Linked DNA regions of Callithrix jacchus. The protein of the gene in region 2 interacts with the protein of the main gene of each other region in a biochemical or structural test. Links are inferred from orthologs where the notes say so. Each region holds a gene or a part of one and is shown on either strand. Other genes may lie near its edges.

Region 1 (9,843 bases), on a different chromosome or scaffold from region 2:
AGATATGGCACTGCACTCCAGTGTGGGTGACAGACTGAGACCCTGTCTCCAAAAAAAAAAAAAAGAAAAAAAAAGAAAAAAAAAATTAGCCAGGCATGGTGGTGTGCACCTATAGTCCCAGCTACTCAGGAGGCTGAGGCAGGAGAAACACTTGAACCCGGTAGGTGGAGGTTGCAGTGAGCCAAGATCGTGCCACTGCACTCCAGTCTGGTGACAGAGCAACAGCCTATCTAAAAAAAAAAAATTCTCTTTGAACCCTGCCACAGTTTATATTCATAACCTCTTGCCCCAGTAGACAGTGCTGTGTCTTGGGAGGCTCTAAATGAAGACCAGGGCAGTAGCTTATTGGGTTGCAGCTTGGAGTCCATGGAAACTCGCATGTGAATCTCAAGGAAATAAATTTCAACTTTTACCCTCTGAAAGAGATTTTGTATGAAACTGTGTTCAAGTGTGTGTGTGTGTGTGTGTGTGTGGTGTTTTAAGACTGTAATATCTAAGATTAACTTTGGTGATCACTAAAACTCCAGAAGTGCTTTGCCACATTATTATTATTATTATTTTTAAAGACGGGGTTGCACCATGTTGGTGAGGCTGGTCTTGAACTCCCGACCTCAGGTGATCCACCGCCTTGGCCTCCAAAGTGGTTGGATTACAGGTGTGAGCCACCATGCCCGGCCGCTTTGCCACATTATAACTAGGCTTGAGCCTCTACACTTCTCAAGACCGGGCACTGTGGCTCACACCTGCAATCCTGGCGCTTTGGGAGGCCGAGATGGGTGGATCACCTGAGGTCAGGAGTTCGAGACCAGCCTGGCCAACATGGTTACACCCTATCTCTTAAAAAAAAAAAAAAAAAAATCTCAAAAAGTATTAAAGACTGTGAGAGAATTGAGTAGCTAGCTGAGAAAAAATATTAACGGCAACCCTAGCAAGAGATTGTCATAGCCTCTGGCTACTGTTCTTGGATTATTCACCTGTGTCTATCAATGTTGTAAACATGAAAGTATATAGTCATTCCACAAACATTTACTGAGTACCTGCAGAGTCCCAGGAACTCCGTTGTCCCAGGTGTTGTGTTTGGAGGATTCAGGAAAATAAAAAGTGGTCTCTTTCCATGTGCTTCTCTGTGCAACAGGGGAGACATGCAGGTAAACAGGATGTTACAATACAATGCACCGCAGACACCCAGACACAGTGCTTTGGAAGCATAGAAAATGTATCTGTTAATTCTGCCAGAGGGGTTAGGAAGGGATTCAGAAGGAGATTTAACGGATGACTAGGAGTCCCTAGGCAAATAGGAGGAGGGAAGAACCCACGCAAAACTATCAAGGAGTCAAAAAGCTCAGTGGGGCCGGGTGCGGTGGCTCAAGCCTGTAATCCCAGCACTTTGGGAAGCCGAGGCGGGTGGATCACGAGGTCAAGAAATCAAGACCATCCTGGTCAACATGGTGAAACCCCGTCTCTACTAAAAATACAAATAATTAGCTGGGCATGGTGGCGCATGCCTGTAATCCCAGCTACTCAGGAGGCTGAGGCAGGAGAATTGCCTGAACCCAGGAGGCGGAGGTTGTGGTGAGCTCCATTGCACTCCAGCCTGGGTAACAAGAGCGAAACTCCGTCTGAAAAAAAAAAAAAAAAAAACTCAGTGGGGCTATGGCCAGTGGTGTGGTTTAATTAAAGCTCACAATCTGTGAGAATGTGGGGAGGGAATCAGAACATAATCAGAGGCCTGATTATCAGGTTGCCTAGTCAAGTTGAGGAGTTTGGACTTCATCCTACAGGGAAATAAAGTTTATCTCCCTTGCATTTCAGATTTCAGAAGGATTTCTTTTCTTTTTCTTTTTTTTTTTTTTTTTTAAGGAGTCTCATTCTGTCACCAGGCTGGAGTACAGTGGTGGTATCTTGGCTCACTGCAACCTTTGTCTCCTGGGTTCAAGTGATTCTTCTGCCTCAGCTTCCCGAGTAGCTGGGATTACAGGCACTCGCTACCACACCAGGCTAATTTTTGTATTTTTAGTAGAGACAGGGTTTCACCATGTTGGCCAGGTTCGTCTCGAACTCTTGACCTCAAGTGATCCACGCACCTCATCCTCCCAAAGTGCTGGGATTATAGGCATTAAGCCACTGCACTGGGCCCAGAAGGATCTTTGACACAGATACAAAGGATGATGGACTAGAGAAAGCGAGAGTGGAGGCTTAGAACTGCTTAGAGAGCTTTTCAAATAATTCAGGTGGAGGCTACTGAGGAGTTGATTATAGGTAGCAGCAGGGCACAGCTGTTTTCTCTGTTTCTAGTTAGGACTTTGGCCCATCCTTCCAGAATGCCAGTGGCAGTGCTTTCAGGGTTCAGGTGAACGAAGGCACTTGTAAGTGTCCTAATGGAGTTTGAGGCCAGCCTGGGCAACATAGTGAGACCCTGTCTCAATTTATATTAAAACATAAATTAATTAGAAAAATAAAATTAAAAAAAAGGTCCTGAGGACCAGGCAAAATGCCTCAGATAAAGAAACCATCATGAACAGGCACCAGGTGGTTCATTCACACATTTATTTGTTGCTAATTCAGCCATAGGTTTAAAGAACATCTTTTTTATTAGGAAGATGAGCCTTAAAGGTGAATACTTAGGGGCCTGAACACTTAAGGAGGGGAAAGGGATGCTATGTGCTTTCACTTCAAGGCAGCGGGCAGAATGGTACACTCAGTGTGGAGGTCAGTGCGGCATGGTAGCACCTGCAGTCCCAGCTACTTCAGAGGCTATGGTAGTGGGATCGCTTGAGCCCAGAATATCGAGGCTGCAGTGAGCAAGCTATGACCTGGTTTCTTAAAAGAAAAGCTGGGAGTTTATATTCTAGGGATAGGGTAACGAACAACTTCCAAAATGCACAAGATGTATGGGGAACAATTAGTTTGACTGGAATTTGTATGGAGGAAGATCAGAGGCTGTTGCATTGGTGAAGATATCCGGCTCGGCTCGTAAAAAGGCAGTGGGAGCCCTTTAGAAATTCCTGGGATTCTGTTTCTTTGATTCGGAGTTAGGAAGACAAGGAAGTAACAAGTGCCGTCCCTCCCTCCCTTCCTTCCTTCCTCTTTCTTTCTTTCTTTTCTTTTCTTTTTTTTTTAATAGTTAAGGAACCTGAGGCTAGGGGCTGGGGGGCAATGTCATCTGCCCCAGGCCACACAGTGTAAGATCAGGCATGCATGTCTGCCAAGGTTTGAGTTCAAAGTCCGTGCCCCCCTTGGTACAGAGGCAGAAAGGCGCGGTGCCCCCGGGTCCCAAGAGAGAAGGGCGCCAAGCTCAGAGCCAGTTCTGTGGAAGGGTCGGGGAAGGCCTGACCCCGGGGGCGATCCGGTGGCGGGATAATCTTAGACACCTTCAGGAGAACCGGCCCAGGCTGACAGGTTGCGCAAACGGCCCCGCCTGCTCCAGAGAGCCGTACTCCTGGGATGCAACGCAGGCTAGTGGGCGCCTCCGTGGCGCCCACACCCCCCGCCAGTGGTTCGCTCCGAACACCCCTTGCCGGGCAGCGGGTGCTGCGGTCCGCCCCACTTCCGGTTGTTGCCGGGCCCTATATCCGGTGTCCGCCCGCCCTCGGCTCCGCAGCCGCGATGCTGTCCCGGTCCCGCTGTGTGTCTCGGGCATTTAGCCGCTCGCTCTCCGCCTTCCAGAAGGTACGATCTGGCCTAGCCGGGGCCCCAACGGATGAGGAGACTGCTGGCGGGCGGACAGGTGACCTGGAAGGCAGGGGCGCGGCGCGCCGGCCAGCCCGGGCACCAAGGGCACCGGGACGCGGAGGCCGCGCGGGCTGGGCGGCCCGGGGCTGTGGTTGTCCTCGGGACCGTCTTGCGGAGCCCGGCGGCCCCCTGCCTTCTCCAGGCAGCCCGCGGAGAACGTTTCCTGCCTTACCCCCCCCTCCGCGCGGGAGCTGGGGAGCCGCGCCCGTCCACATACTTGACTCAGAGTTGGGGAGGAGGCGCGGCGGAGTCTTCTGGCGGGATTCGGCGCCCGTCTCCTCTTGCTCTGTTAAAATCTGTGGGTATTAGTGAGTCCCATTGGGAAGTTGAGATAGTTTGGCAGGCCCAGCGTGTTGATTGGGTTTGCCAGCCCGGTGTGTTACATTTACCTTCGGAGTTACGAGATTCACCTGTCACCAGCACTGGGACAGCTTTGAGCGTATACTTAAAAGAATTCCTGTTTGTTTTTTTTTTCGTCTTGGGTGATGTCGATAATGTCTTCTTTCTCAACAGGGGAACTGCCCTCTAGGGAGACGTTCCCTGCCTGGTAAGTTCTGCCCTTGCCGTCACCTAAAATGCTCTCCTCCTGGGCAGAGCCGTATGTGAGGAACTCGGGGGTGCCTGTGTTTCTCATAATATTTAAAGGCAGTTCGATTTAGAGAGTAGTGAGACACAATTCTACATAATCATGGGCTATCATTTACTCATTTAGCTTGTAGTTTTTAAGTTTCTGCTGTCAGGCCCTGCGCTAGGGATACAGCAGTGAATACAGCAGTGTACAATTCTTGCTCTCGTGGAGCTCCCAGGCTAGTTGGAAAGTGTCAGTTGCCAAACAAGTGAACAGTGACAACGTTCTGTAAATGCTGAGAAGGAAACACACGAGGGTGGACAGACGAGCCTTCTTTGAGGAGGTCACATAAAAATACGGCCGGGCACCGTGGCCCAGGCCTGTAATCCCAGCACTTTGGGAGGCCTACGCGCGGAGATCATTCTTCCTGGGCAGGAGTTCGAGACCAGCCTAGCCAGCATGGTGAAACCCCGTCTCTACTAAAAATACAAAAATTAGCCGGGCGTGGTGGTGTGTGCCTGTAATCCCAGCTACTTGGGAGGCTGAGGCAGAATTGCTTGAACCTGGGAGGCGGAGGTTGCAGTGAGCCGAGATTCTGACACTGCACTCCAGTCTGGCCGGCAGAGCAAGACTCCGACTCAAAACAAAACAAAAAACACTATGGCCAGCAGAATGTGACGGAGCTAACCCAGTGAAGCCCAGGAAAAAGAGAATGGCATGCACGAAGATCTTCAGGAAGAAAAGAGGTTGGCAGAACTTAAGAACTAGAAAAAAGGTGATTTGGCCAGAGTATTTTAGTTAAGGGAGAGTGGCATGAGATAGAAGATGGTGTAGAAACTGTTTGACGGAGTTTAGATTTTATCCCAATAGTTTTGAAAAAAAAATTAACAATGGTCATTCATAGCTAATTTTCTGTTATATGCCTAAGTATTTGTTGAATGAGTTGATCTTGTGGACTTTCTTTGTACCAAGCATTTATGAGTGCTTTCTGTGAACTTTTTAGTTAATCACAAAATACTAAGAAGTGTTTTCTCTATTTTACAAATGCATAACCCTAGACAAGAGAGATTAAAAGCCTTGGCCAAGGTCACCCACCCAGCGGTTGATCAAGCCAGGTCTACCTGACCCAGCCTGAACTCTTAGCCCACCATGTTCTCATTTACTCAAGGACTCAGCAGATCATTTATTAAGTGCTTACTATAAGCCAGCCACTGTGCTACGTAATAGGGATACACCTATCCTAGCCTCGATGATTGTCTCTAGCCTCGAGATTTTATGGGCTAACTGGAGAGAGAGCAAATACACATTTATGCTCCGACAAGGGTGTAATTAAATTGTGGTTACTACCAGAAAGGAATAAAGGGTGATGAGAGGGTGGCATGATGTAGCCCAGCTGGGGAAGGTTGGGAATGTCAGTAAAGGCTTCCTTGAAGAAGTGACATTTAACTGAGACTTCAATATAAAAGAGCCAAGAAAAATGATATTCCAGGCAAAGTGAATTGTTTGTGCAAAGGTTTTCAGACAGGAAAGGACTTGGCCAGTGATAGACATGGGAAGAAGCCTGTCTGGCTGGAAGGATAGAGTGGGCTGGATGGTACAGGATCGAATAAATTGTGTGGACTTTATTCTAAGAGTTATGAGGACATAAGGCACCTAGCACAACGTGAGCTTGTAGTGGACTCTCAATAACATGTTTTTCAAGTGGGAATTCTGAACAATGCCAGCAAACGTGTTCTCCACTTTATGGGTGGGCAGGGCAATGGAAAGAGCCTTGCACTTGGGATTTGCATTTTGGCTTGGGCTAGTCACTTAACCTCCAGAAGCCCTACATATGTGAAATGGGAATAATGGCAGATGGTCGTTCCACTTCAGAGAGTTGTGACACTGAAAGTCAAAATGAGGTCATTATGTGAAAGCTTTTTATAAACCTAAAGTGCTGTATCGGTGAAACTTGCTGTAGGATGAACTCTGAATTGGACTCCAGGTTCCAAAAATCAGTGTGGGCTGCCAGCTGTTCTAGTTGAAAAAGATACTGTGCTTGAATTTTGCACTGCATAGTCATTGGCTGCTGGACATAGAGGTGATTGGCTTACCTATCTTGGGATGTTTGTGAGAAGGTGGGAGTAAGAGAGAGCTAGCTCTCATTTAGAGTCTCTTGAGCCCATGGTTCAGAAAGAGTTGTTAATCTGGGGAAAAAAAAAAAGACAATATATTCAGAAGAGGCAGCTGTAGTTACTAGTCAACAGATGGGGAAATGCACTTAACTGTTGTAAGGACAGCTGGTGGGCAGAAAGGGGCTGTCACCTTTTTGAGAGTGACCAGGGTGGAAGACTTCAGAAAGGCATGGGAAGTCAGTAATTGAAAGGTGGGCACATGATTTTCTCAGCCCTAGGACATGCTGAAGACCCTGATCCTGAAGTAGCTGAGTCTTTGCTACTAGGGTTCAGGTGATAAGATTTTTAGCCCAATCTTTTCAAACCCAGACCACATGTCCTCCTTGCTTCTCAAATTGGGTTATGTATAGCCATCCCATATCTTTCTTTCTTTTCTTTTTTTTTTTTTTGAGACAGTGGCCCAGGCTGAAGTGCAGTAGTGCGATCTCGGCTCACTGCAACCTCCTCCTCCCTGGTTCAAGCTATTCTCCTGCCTCAGCCTCCTGAGTAGCTGGGACTATAGGTGCGTGCCACCACACCTAGCTAATTTTTGTATTTTTAGTAGAGACAGGGTTTCACTGAGTTGGCCGGTATGGTCTTGATCTCTTGACCTTGTGGTCTGCCTGCCTCGCCTCCCAAAGTGCTGGTGAGCCACCACACCCGGCCATCATCCCATATCTTTCTTAAGCTTCAATTGTATTTGAAGACTTGGTGAGTAGAGATTTTATTATGAAAACATAAAGAAATAATGAAAAGTGACTTTTTAAGGTAAATGAGATTATATAATCACTTTGGGCTGTGCCATCAAATTTTTTCTCTTTCCTTTCCCAAACACATACCCACTCTTAACCTCAAATACCCAGTGCTGTCTGCCATTAAGGCTACTTTGGAAAAGTTTGAGAAGCAAGACATTATGATAAAGATTATATCCATTGCCTGTAGTTGATTCTGTTCTGTCTCAGGGTTGGGGGTGAGCAGACCTACATTCCCAGAATGTATCCTTTGTGAGATAAGAGTTGTTGGTTAAGAGTTGTTTTGTTTCTTGCAGGGGTCTCCTTATGCCAGGGACCAGGTTACCCTAACAGCAGGAAGGTTGTGTAAGTATCACTGGGGCATACAGATATGTGGCCACGGGGTATTTTTAAGACATCAGTTCTAAATTTGACCATCTGATTTCCTCACTGGCCTCCAGATCTAGCAATTGAAGTGGTTATGTTGAGTCCCTAAACTAACCTTGATATTCATTTTTCCCATATGATGTTCCTTGAGCATCAGCCCCATGTCAGGTGTTGAACTGGGAGTGTGCTTGCTCTCCACAGGTATTTAGATTATAATGAAAATTAGGTTGGAACCCTCTTTTTATGGGATAAGTATAGAAGGGTGCTCTTGGATATTCTAGTTGGGTATAAGTCAGCTGAAGGGCTCAAGGTTACATTTATTGTAGAGATTGAGCCATCCTCTCAGTAGCATAGTTACTCATTTTAAAAAGAATAAAAGCATAAAACTGGTTGAGTCCTGGGACTGACTAGTTTGGAGGGAATACTGTTATTGCATAATGCAGAGTTTGGAGAAAGGCCACTCGTGTGTTTCAGATTAATTTTTGCTTATTAATGTTGCTTAAATGCTGCTTTGCATTCCAGGTGTTTTTGTGGTGGTGCTAAGAGAATGCTCTCTAGTAACCTGTTCAACAGCTGTCAGGCTGCTTTGTCTACAGGGAGAATCCTCAAAGTAAAGGGGTCAACAGATAAACTTCTTCCTTAATGTGCATCACAATGAGGATTTTTTGTTGTTGTTTTGAGACAGGATCTTGCTCTGTCCTGGCTGGAGTGAAGTAGCATGATCTTGGCTTGCTGCATCCTCAGCCTCCTAGGCTCAAGTGATCCTTTCATTTCAGCCTCCTGAGTAACTGGGACTACAGACACATGCCACCATGCCCAGCTGATTTTTATATTTTTTGTAGAGATGGGGTGTTTTGCCATGGTGCCAGGGTTTCAAACTCCTGGGCTCAGGTAATCCACCCACCTGCCTTAGCCTCCCAAAGTGGGGGATACAAGCATGAGCTATGGTACCTGGCTGTTTTTTTTTAAATTGAGAAAATGTTGCACTCAGTACTAGAAATATGAATTCCTATGTTATTTTGGAGGGCAGTTTGGTGGTCATAAGTCTTTGAATTATGTATGCCTTTTGGTCTAGCAATTCCATTTCTAGGAATCTATACTGAAGAACTCCTGATATAATAAGATTTCTCTCAAAATGACAGAGCAAGGGATTGGTTAAACTGTAGTATGCTTCACAGGTTCACACTCTGAAAAGTGGGAAAAAGCAGGTTACAAAATGATTTCATTTTCTACTCTATGGTATAATCCCATTGTAACTATTTTTTTTGCTATTTCTAATCTGCAGTGAGCATCTAGTTATTTAGAGATTCAAAGTGTATCACTCATCTGCAATCCAATGAAAATTGGAGCAATCATGAATCTCTACAATAAATACATTAAATATTTGAAAGTAAATAATGAAGAAAAAAGTAAACTTTATGTGGGATCACCCATAATCATGTCACCCTAATCCAGTATTTTCTGTGTGTTGTGCCTCGGTGAATAAGGTACCCACTTTAAGAAATCTTTTATTGTAAAACAATTTTTGGTTTTATGTTTCCACTTAATAGGTGTTATATTTACATGTTTAAAAATTCAAAAAGTAAAAAGGATGTCCGTGAGAAGACTTTTATCCTTGTCCTCTAGCCTTGCAAATGCTTCTTAACAGTGGTGGCCACCACTCAGGGTTCCTGGATGACTGGAGAGCAGCCTCTGCACTTGTGTGTTACCTGTTAGCTCTTGCCTATGGGCATGTACTTTTCATGGTTACAAACTATATGTAGAACATTTTGCATTCTGTAGTTTTTAAATATCTTCACTTTTTTCTTGGTTGTGTATAGACCTTATAGTTACCAACTTAAATCTATTTTACTTTTCTGTTGTAAACGTGTTTGTTGTAGAATATTCAAACAATCCTGAAGTGCAGAAAGTAAAAGTCCCCATCCAAATCATTCTCCCAAATTGTGCAAGTGTGCATGCAACATATAACCATAGATACCATATATGTCTACATCTCTCACCCTCAGAGGTAACCGCTGTTAATGGCTTTGTGCATACAGGGTGATCTCATTCTCCAGTTATATCAACTGGACAGTTATATATATAAACAGTTATATTATTACTGTAAAGGCCATATCAGAAACCACCTTGGTCTCTGAAGTTCCTTTTCAGTGAGTCCAGAATATATTGATGTGCTGCCTTCTAGCAAGAGAACAGAGTAGGAGATACCAGGCTGGGCGTGGTGGCTCATGCCTGTAATCCAAGCACTTTGGAGGCCAAGGCGGGCGGATCA
Region 2 (9,913 bases):
ACTGGCACACAGTTCAGCAAATGTGTACCTGCTGTATGCCCCTTTCAAGGAGTGAGGACCTTGTGGGTTTGAATAAGCACTGCCACGTCTCGCAAATTTTGTCAGAAGCAAAAGTCTGATGCTTAAGACATTTTACAGTGAGGACTTACTATAGTCATGTATACAGCACTTTTTATGGGGCTTCAGAAAACAGCTCTAACACAGAACGGGAGAGTCTAATCCAATCTTGGGCTGGTATTTTATAGGCCACACCTGCTGTAACTTTTGGTAAGCCTCTGTTCTGGTTATACTAAGGCTCAACTTCCACTGATAATGATTTATTCCAGTTCCAGGTTGTGGTGACCTGTGAAAAACCTTTAGCCAATTATGTGTAGAATCACCATTAAGCTTTAGTACTGCCATATAGTATTCTAATGCTTCTGCTTTATACCAGGAGTAAAATACAATGAAAGGTGTATTATCAGTTTTGTTCTTTAAAATCTTGAGCCTCGGAGTTAATATATGTGGACTCTAGTCCTTGCCAGTTCACTCTGTGTTTTTATGGGCCAACCTTGTCCATGTCAGGCAGTAGTGAGGACTTCAGGGACAATTTCCAAAGTAAACAGTTTTATCTTAGGAGAATTCTGGGGGTTAGGAAGAAATTTTTGAAAGTATTTTTGGCTACTCAGCTTGTGCTTCCAGGTGATCCCCCCGTCACACCCTTCCAAGCACCCTAATACCACCCATCTTCCATTCCATATGGTGACGCAACAGCCCTCAACAGCAGTTCTAATCTGATTTCCGAGCACCCACCAGCTAGGTGTTGTCTCCATTCTTTTTAATGGATGAACAAACAGGGTCAGGGAAGTCTGTGAGTGTACCGAAGTCACACAAAGCCAGGACGAGAACCCAAGTCTTCTGTTTCCTGCTCGCGTTCTTTTCACTAGGACCGCTTTCTAGATTTTACAATTTTAGGGTAAGAAAGAACCTTGGGATAATCATTTAGTCCAATCCCTTGTCTTAAAGACCCTCAGGTGCAAAAAAGAAACTGATCTATATAGAGTCAAACATCTAGTCACAAGGACATCATCTGAGGTTTCCTGGTGGCCAGAAAAGAATATTCTCCTGGCAAAATAAAGATAAAAACAAGTTACAAAGTCACCAACAGTTAGGGCCTAATAGATTTCCAAAGTTCATGTATGGCAAGAGTTAAACGACAACTTCCAGGCTCAAGGAATGCGTCTATAAGAGAATGAGATCAGAGGCGGCATGCTGGCAGCTGGAATTTGGCCTGGAGACATGGTTGGTTTGGCCTGCAAGTGCTGGCTGTAAATGTGAAGTCAGCCAATGCTGGAAAAAAACTGAGATATTTAACATAAAATCCAAGCCGGTCACGGTGGCTCACATTTACCATCCCAGCACTTTCGGAAGCCGAGATGGGAGGATCGCTTGAGCTCAGGAATTCAAGACCAGCCCAGGTAACATGGTGAGGTGTCATCTCTTAAAGAAATAAAATCCAGATTTCTGGCTTTTCTTGAAAAAATCTAAAGGTCTGATATGTCTGCACCCACATCCCTACCCTAACCAATCAGCCAGAACTGAGTAAAGGCTGCCTCTTGGGAGGTGGTACCATTCCCTGGCTCTCCACTGTCTCCACCACTCCTCCAGGTCTCCCTAACCCTGAGGCCATGCATGCGTCACATGTCTCTCTCCCCTGCATTACCTGGCCCTGCTCCCATTTAGAAACTTTGTCTCCACTGGCCTAGAGGATGCCACGGAAAGTCGTTTAAACTTCCAACCGTTTTGTCTAATCTGACTTGGTTTGATTTATGTATTTATTTATTTTTTAAGAACATAGACATTGTCACAATTCAACCACAGGGAAGACTTGTCTGGCTGAGGATTTCAAATTCCATAATGATTTGGAGATACGCTACTAGAAACTTTCAGCGAGGATAAAGAAAAGGTATCACAGTGTAAGAAGGCTGGAGTGGATTAGCATTTCTCACAGTTGGGGAGAGAAATACTTGGCTGATATCAAAATATGTCATGACACGAATGTGTCAACCTTCACTTCTCCCCCTAAACCCACACACTGAAGGGGTGATTTTAAGTCCGAGAACAGGATGTCAAAAGTTTTCAGGCATGGAACAAGCCATAGAATGGATTAAATAAATACCCCAAGTGGAAGAAAGCCATAAACTATTAGACATATCTTTTTTTTAAATTTGAGATAGAGTCTTGCTCAGTCACCTAGGCTGGAATGCAGTGGCACGATCTCGGAACTCTGTTAGGCCCTAACTGCAACTTCTGCCTCCTGGGTTCAAGTGATTCCCCTGCCTCAGCCTCCTGAATAGCTGGGATTACAGGTGCCCGCCACCACGCCTGCTAATTTTTGTATTTTTAGTAGAGAGGAGGTTTCACCATGTTGTCCAGGCTGGTCTCAAACTCCTGACGTCAGGTGATCGGCCTGCCTCAGCCTCCCAAAGTGCTGGGATTACAGGCATGAGACACCACCCAAAGATCTGAACTAATAATGCACCTGGTTCCCTGTTATCAAAGCTGCTGGCCGAACTCTAGGCTTTAATTAATTACCCTACACCTAAGTAGGGTAGCTATTGGCAATATATCCATTTTTTGGCTAACTGAAGCAGTCTAAAGATGTGATGATATTCCACAAAATACTAGGTTTGTAGGTCCCCGCCGCACCCACCCCCCGCATCTTCCTACCCGACATACCCTACAAAATTCCTGCCAATGAATTTCATAGTGAGTATGTATGTTGTCATTTTGGGATGGTCCCATCAGAGGCCCATCTGGTGAACTCATCGAACCAGATGGTTTCGTTACTGGTGTCAACCTTGAGTTATGATTCAGAATGTTGGAGTATACACTCAGATTCGAAATCCCTACGTAGTAAGGCGTAGGACAAAAGATCTGTGCCTTTGAGATGCAGGTGCATGGACTGGTCCACTTACTAGCTGTGTGATTTGACAAGTCACTTCACACTTAACCACTCTGTAGGCATGAGTTTCCTCATCTGCAAAAAAAAAAAAAAAAAAAAAAGGCCAACTAATAAAAGCTGACCCCTACGAAGCAGTTGGCAGACAGAGAGCGTCCAATAACATCCAGATAGACTCTCTTCTTTTCACGGAACGCTAGAAGCTACAGGTTTTCAGAAGTCAAGCAGTCTCATCTCTCATTTACAGATGAGGAAATCAAGGCCCCAAGAGGTGGTCTTTCAGGCAAACAGTGGCAGTGCCAGGCAGCTCTTGAGATGTGGGCTCTGGTCCTTAATTCAACATTGTTTTTTTTTCACATGAGCCAGCCCATGAGAGATTCTGAGAGCAGGTGGGGACAGTGAAAAGGCAGTCCTCATAATTTCTAGGAGCCTCAAACTGTAGGCCAAAGGGCTAGGAAAACAGACCTACCTTGTTTTAAGTTTGACGCCGGCCTTACCACTGACAGTTGTTTCTCATCCTCTACGGCTAACACATCTTGGTTGGTCGCTGGGCCTATGTATACATTCAAGTTTGGTTTATCTAGACTAACTGGCTGAGCTGCCTGCCAATAGTTTCGATTATTGATCAACCAAAGGTGAGGCATGCACACTTCAGCTTTATACAACTCACACACATACACACACAAAAGCATCCCCAAGATCACATTCTAAGCTTGGTTCCTGGTCTGTAGGAGAATGGTTGACCCTTTTACATTTCAGCTTGCAAAGTCATGGCTTTTCCCAAGTGCATTCTTATAGAGACTCAGAAAGTTACTGACATGTACAGAAAGGCTGAGAATCCCTGATTCCCAGAACTACTCTTCAGGATTGATTTCACTAGCCTGTCACACGTTAGGAAAGAACATACGCTTTCATAGGAACCAGAGTTCTAGATCCTGAAAGTGAAACTCCATGCTCCTTATAGCATAACTGTTTCCTTCCCCTTCTCTTGGGAACAGCATGATTCTATTATGAGGTTGTGTTTTAAAAACAAATGATAGATTACTGACTAATACCAAATGCTCATTTGTGAACTATAACTCACCTAAAGCCATTTTTTCTATTAGCCACTGCAGGTTTAAGGGAAAGTAAAGGGGTGAGAAAATGACTCCCCAGAAATCCTGTGGGGCATCCCCCACCCCTACAATATGTCTCAGACATCAAATAGCCACTCTATGTTAACTACCACCAAACCTTTTCCAACCACTAGTGTGTCACCTTTTTCACAACCCTAAGACAACTATGCAAATACTTTAAACTTTGAGAAACTGGGCTGAGTGGATTACTGAGCATTATATGAGGAGAGGTTGAAAGCAATTTATTAAGGCTGCCTGAAACACCACAGTCCAAACACTGATTCAAACCCTTATTTAAATATGCTATTTTAAACTTGATTTGTGGCAAGGCAGCAGACCAAATTAAATCACTCATTTACTGACCTGAGCCCCAAGCCTGAATTCTCTGGTGGATTATTTTTAATTTAAAAATGAGCTCTTGTCCTATAAATAAGCAGCACCAAGGAGAAACGCAAGACAGCCTAAATGGCCCAAGAGGCAGAACAAGTTACTTGTACAAAAAAACTGGAAAGTATTAATGACATTATTTCCACTTCTAATTTCAGAAAATGAACTTTCCAGATTTTAATGAAGTAATGTAGACAAGTATGTCTGTGAAATTGCTCCTGAAGGTTTCCACGTAATAGCTGCAGATAAACAAATGTTCTAACATGATCACACAATGCAATACCATGCAGCCATTTAAAATACAATGAAGTCGGCTGGGTTTCAGACATAGAGAAATATGTGTGATAATATGAATTTTAAAACAGCAAGTTGCAGATGCCATTTCTGGAGAAAAACTTGTATCTCTGTGTGGGTATTAAAAAAAACCTCCCTGACATACACTGACATCTATGATTCTATGTTTAGCTGCGAGGGTGTATGTGTGTATATATAGTTTAAAAAGATACACATTAAACCTAACAATGGAGGGAAAGGACGGGACAGGTCCTGGCCTTTCATTTTACTTCTTGTCTTAATGGTTTGCATTTTTCACAAGGGCACTGAAAACTTTTTACATTAAATAAAAAATGAAGTGATGAGCTTTCAACAACTCAAACAACAGCTCTTGAGTGCCCTGTTAATTTCTTGATTGACTGTTTTCACCCCACTTAATACAAAAACGCAGCCACACAACTCCTCAGTCCTTCCCAGTCTTTGGAAGGCTAGGAGAGAAAAAGGCGTGGCTTGCAGGGTTTTCTTGTAGCTGGAGGAAAACAGGCTCTAGGGGTCCTTTTTTTAGCTACACTCTCGAGAACTCCCACGTGTCAGGGGTGCGCAGAAGGTAGATGCGGGGTGCAGGGCTCCAGTATCAATTCAGCCAAGCCGAGTGCTGGTAAAGGGTGTGTTTAGCTTGCCTGTTTCCTCCCTCCTCAATCCCCACAGTTTCTCGGTCCAAGTTTTAGTGGTGCGGCCCATCCTTACCGAGCGTACCCGAATACACATCTGCAGAGGACTCGGGCATTGGGGCGGGTGAGTGAAAATGTTCTAAAGACCAGCGAATGCCAATTAATCTGGGGTCAGTACTCGGTAAATTTCAACCCAGAGCTACTACTTTCAAAGTGGGCTTGAGGGAGGGTGAACGAAGTGTAAACATTTTTTTTTTTTTTTTTTTTTTTTAGGAGAGATGCTGACCGCCTCTCTGGGCCTGCGAGTGGGTTGCAGAATACCGGAGTCCCTGAGGTCACCGGCGGAGGTGCGCGGGCTGTCCCTGGACTTACCTTACAGGGAAACAGGACTGCTGAGGCCACCTTCTCCATAGCCAGGTTCCTGATGCTGGGCGTCAGGGCGCCCCTGCACGTCGGGCAGCAGCTCAACTTCTGGCGGCATTGGTTACACACCAGGTGCCCAGCCTGGCACTGCAGGATAGGAGGCAGGACATAGTCAAAGCAGACCGGACACTCAAAGAGCGAGGTCAGCTCGTGGTGCTGCGGGGACACCGGGCCGGCCCCGCCGCCACCGCCGGGGCCCGAGATCACCGCCGCCGCGGCGGGCACCGCGGACGAGCCGGGGCCCGCAGCCGAGATGGTGGCGGCGGCCGGGGGCGCAGCCGGGGACGGAGTGTGCTGGGGCTGCGGCGGCGGCTGCTTGCTGCACGGTTTATTAGCGCTGGGGCCGGTGGAGGACGGGCGGCTCATCGCGCTCCGAACCAACCATGGAACTGCGGGCGCCTGCCTGCCGCGGGGCCGCCCAGGTCAAGGCGGTGCGCGCCCCGCGGGCAGAGAGCTCGGAGGCAACGCCACGGCGCCCAGCCCAGGTCCGCGCGGCGGAGACGCTTGGCGCCCGGGAGGCGGAGGGTTGGACCACGCGGATGCACTCCGCAGCCCCCGGAGTTCCGAACGCGCCTCCGCAGTTCCGAACACGCCTCCGCGTCGGACCCCGCGCGGTGCCCTTCTCCCGGCGCGGCGTCCCGGGCCCCGAACCCCGAACCCCAGCGGTGCGCGAAGATCCCTGGCCCACCAGCTTCTGGAGCGGCCGCTGACGCAAGCCCCGGGGGCGCGCGCGGACGTGACGCCTGGACACGTGTGCGGCCGCCCAGGCGCGCGGGGACTGGCAGAGCCACCCTGCGCCGGGGCGCTGGCTCCACCCGGCTCCAGCTGGCAGCGCAGGGGGCCGCCTAGCGCCGGCGCTTCCTGCTTAGGCTGCGGGCCGGGCCTGCGCCAGTGAGCATGCCTAGATCGCCACAGCCTCGGGGGGTTGTGTTTTCCAGATTGGGGAGGGGGCCACCCTCGGGAAGGCGTCGCCGAAGTCCTTTAGCCACACCCCGGGGTGCCTGGCTGACTCGTCCCTCGGCTCAGACGAGAAGGGCAACTTCTGGCAGGGCGGGAGCGTGGATGGTGGGTGGGACCGGACGCGGGCGGGCAGGGGCGGGGCGCGGGCGCCCCTGCACTGGTCGGAAAAAACCGAGAGGTGTCTGTTGGGGTTGACTCACCAGCGCGCAAGAGAGGAGGGCGACGCTGCCTCCTGGGTTCTGTGTTCGGAGTCAGGACGAGAAGCTTTGGGTGGGAGCAGGGCGAGGGGCTCGAGTTGGGTCTGCAGTGGGCACAGGACCTAGTTTTGTACAGTTAATGGTGGGTTTGAGTAAAGGCGGGGGAGGGGGGCGGTGGGAAGGAAGGAAGCTCCCTTTATTCCTTTCCCAACGGACCTGAAGGAGGCTTCATTGAATTGAGCGCCCCTGGCTTGTAGAGCAGGAGGAGGAGGCATTTCATGGACAGCATTGGCTGAGAGTTCGAGATCATCTCGGAATGCCAGAAATGTGGGTTGGGTCGTGAGGTCTCTGAAGACAGTGGGTGAGCCTCCAGTATAAGGCGCTGCGTCCTTTTGGTAGAGAGCTGGCAGAAGTCCGAGTGTTTGTTGCGCGGCTAGGCCAGCCTGTGCGCCCATCAGAAGCGCTAGCGAGGGCAGGGTAGCCCGGAGTGAACCGCATGTTCAACTGTGTACTCCGAGTTAAACTGTTTTTCTGCAAACTTTGCTTGAGCCGGTGACTCTGGAATTGGGGAAAGGGTTACCCTAGGTGGCGGATATTTGTAGGAGACACAGAGGTAAGGACCAACTGTTAGGAATGTGTGAAAAGTGGTTTCCTCCAACTGTAAAAGTGGAATAAAAACAATACCTATCTTATGGGGGGGCAGTGAGGAGTAATGAGTTTGATATATGTCAAGCTCTTAAAACTACGCAGAGACTCCATCTCAAACAAACAGAAAAATCAACCTTGCCCATCATAAGCACTGTTTAAACGTTAGTTGTTATCTTTTAAAACTATTATTGGATGCTTAATATGAATGAGTAAAACTTGTCAAAGAAATATGGCGTTAGAGCCCAGAAGAAATAAAGTTTATAAAGGGCTTCCATAGAAAGACTAAATGCGTGGAATTTGGTAAAAATCTTGAAAAAACTTAGTAGGTATAGATATTCAATGATTCAGTAAATGTTTCCGGAGCATTTATCACGTGCCCGCTACTGTTGGAGCTCAGAGAATGGTTCCTATGCAGTTTACGTTCTAGTAAGAGAGCGAGGCCCGATAACCCTGGGAGAGGACGGATCTCAGGGACCGCGAGATGGGAAGGCATTGTAGCAGGAGCTGAAAAGTACAGAGTGAAAGGAGGTATTCTGGGATTGCATTGGGACTTGAAGGGGACATAATGGGAGTGTAGGGGCGTGGGGTTAGCACAAGGGGAGCCTCAACTGGCTTACTAAGACATTTACCTCAATGATAGGGGTCAACCACTGTAGGGTTTTGTTTTTTTTTAAGAACACGTAAGTAACAACACTAGGTTTTGTAGGTTTTTGAAAGCTCATGGCTGAACCTGAGTTTTTGGATAGGTGGGGAGCATAAAATAATACCTAATGTTTATTGAGTCCGCACTGTATGTTGGGCATGGATAGTTTTAAGTATTTCTCATAACTCTATATGATGAATACTACTGTTATCCCCATTTTGCAGTTGAGGAAAGTGAGACACGGATTACTTTACTCAAGGTCTCACAGCTGAGAATGTGGGAACCCGCTTGGAGCCCTTCTTCTGAATTATGCCTGACTCCTACTTGTAGTCTGGTTGAAGAGTTAAGATTAGCACACTCAACAGAGATAGAAAACAGTTGTTCAGCCTATAATAAAGTGCTGAATTTTGTGGGCAAACTTTACATAAACTCTTTCCTTAGCTGGTCTTGAGAGAAAAATTAAATCATATTCTATTTATTTCATTTTCATCTTTTTATGACACAAAACATAAGTGATGACACAAAAATCACCCACAGTTTTACTGTTACTGGAGAAAACGTAATCGTTTTCATTCTTAGTTTAAAATCAAAGCATTTGGAATTTATTACTGGAATGTATTTTCTTTCCTTCCACTTCCGGCCTCTCTGTGTGATGACCCTCATTCCCAGCACTTCTAACTAGCTCTCATTGGGACACTGGAGTCCTCATGCTTGCCCCATTGACATGAGCTTTCAATGTTCCAGCTAGATAGGCCCCAGTCATTTAGAAAGCAATTTGGTTTGGGAGGTGTTGAAATAAAGAACAGGAAAAGCAATTCTCTGCAGAGAGAATTTGGTTTACTTTTCTAAAAATACAACAAACCCATCCACTCTTACCCTGGCAGATGCCTCCCCTGTTATAGAGAAATGTCTTCTTTCTTCCTCCTTCACATCATTGCACACCTGATGAAGTCAATCAGGGTAATTAAAAAACAAAAGCAAAACAAAGAAACTGGGCAGTTGCTGAAGGCAGGGGAGGAGAGTGGACAGGCCTGCTACGTGAGCCACGTAGGTGACCAGGCTGGTCTTTCCAGTCCGCCTTTCTTCTTCCTTCCTTGTGGTTTTTGAAACAAAGAAAGGTGACCTTTGCACTGTGAGCTAGAGCCTCTTCTTTCAGAGAGCAGTCAGCTCAGAGGTCACATTTAGCGTGCACTCAAAATGTGTGCTGAGTTGAGTTGTTGCGAGGATTATTTACCCTTCGGAGTGTTGCTGCTCTTTCCCGGCCTGTTTAGTGAATGTCTGTGGCCTGGGGGAGCAGAGTCCAGCCTTTTGTTACCTCCTGATTCATGACTCATTTACCACATCTGCTGTATGAGAGGTTGGCCTCATTTGCCCACCCACTGAATCCCAGATTGTATATGTCAAGCAGGACACCTCTCCTTAACCCATCTGCTTGCTCTGTGCTAAGCTTGAAAGACTGGGGTTATACTGAGTAGCCTTTTCTTTCCCTAAAATAGCAAGGTAAGTCTTTAAAAAAAAAAAACACCTCACAGGTGAGTTCCTAATCTTACTAAACTGCTGAGCACAATAAGAAATGCTCCAGTTAGGCAGACAAGCTCTTGCCCTTTTTTCTGTAAGTTACAAATTGTGTGGTTTTGCAAATCAGGCAACTTCTG

What was found.
Region 1: the proteins of SIAH2 (region 2) and DLST form a complex in vitro, tested with the Homo sapiens proteins (2 studies listed by BioGRID, with this or other methods). The link is inferred for Callithrix jacchus from reciprocal best matches to the Homo sapiens genes SIAH2 and DLST.

Annotation. Positions count from the first base shown.
Region 1 is NC_133509.1:109,794,534-109,804,376, forward strand, and holds the start of DLST (dihydrolipoyllysine-residue succinyltransferase component of 2-oxoglutarate dehydrogenase complex, mitochondrial), read left to right. Parts: upstream 1-3,574; 5' UTR 3,575-3,606; coding exon 3,607-3,669; intron 3,670-4,245; coding exon 4,246-4,279; intron 4,280-4,870; exon of another isoform or gene 4,871-5,012; coding exon of another isoform or gene 5,013-5,075; intron 5,076-7,501; coding exon 7,502-7,550; intron 7,551-9,843. UniProt on the Homo sapiens protein: Dihydrolipoamide succinyltransferase (E2) component of the 2-oxoglutarate dehydrogenase complex. The 2-oxoglutarate dehydrogenase complex catalyzes the overall conversion of 2-oxoglutarate to succinyl-CoA and CO(2).
Region 2 is NC_133518.1:34,499,728-34,509,640, reverse strand, and holds the start of SIAH2 (E3 ubiquitin-protein ligase SIAH2), read right to left. Parts: upstream 6,524-9,913; 5' UTR 6,177-6,523; coding exon 5,760-6,176; intron 1-5,759. UniProt on the Homo sapiens protein: E3 ubiquitin-protein ligase that mediates ubiquitination and subsequent proteasomal degradation of target proteins.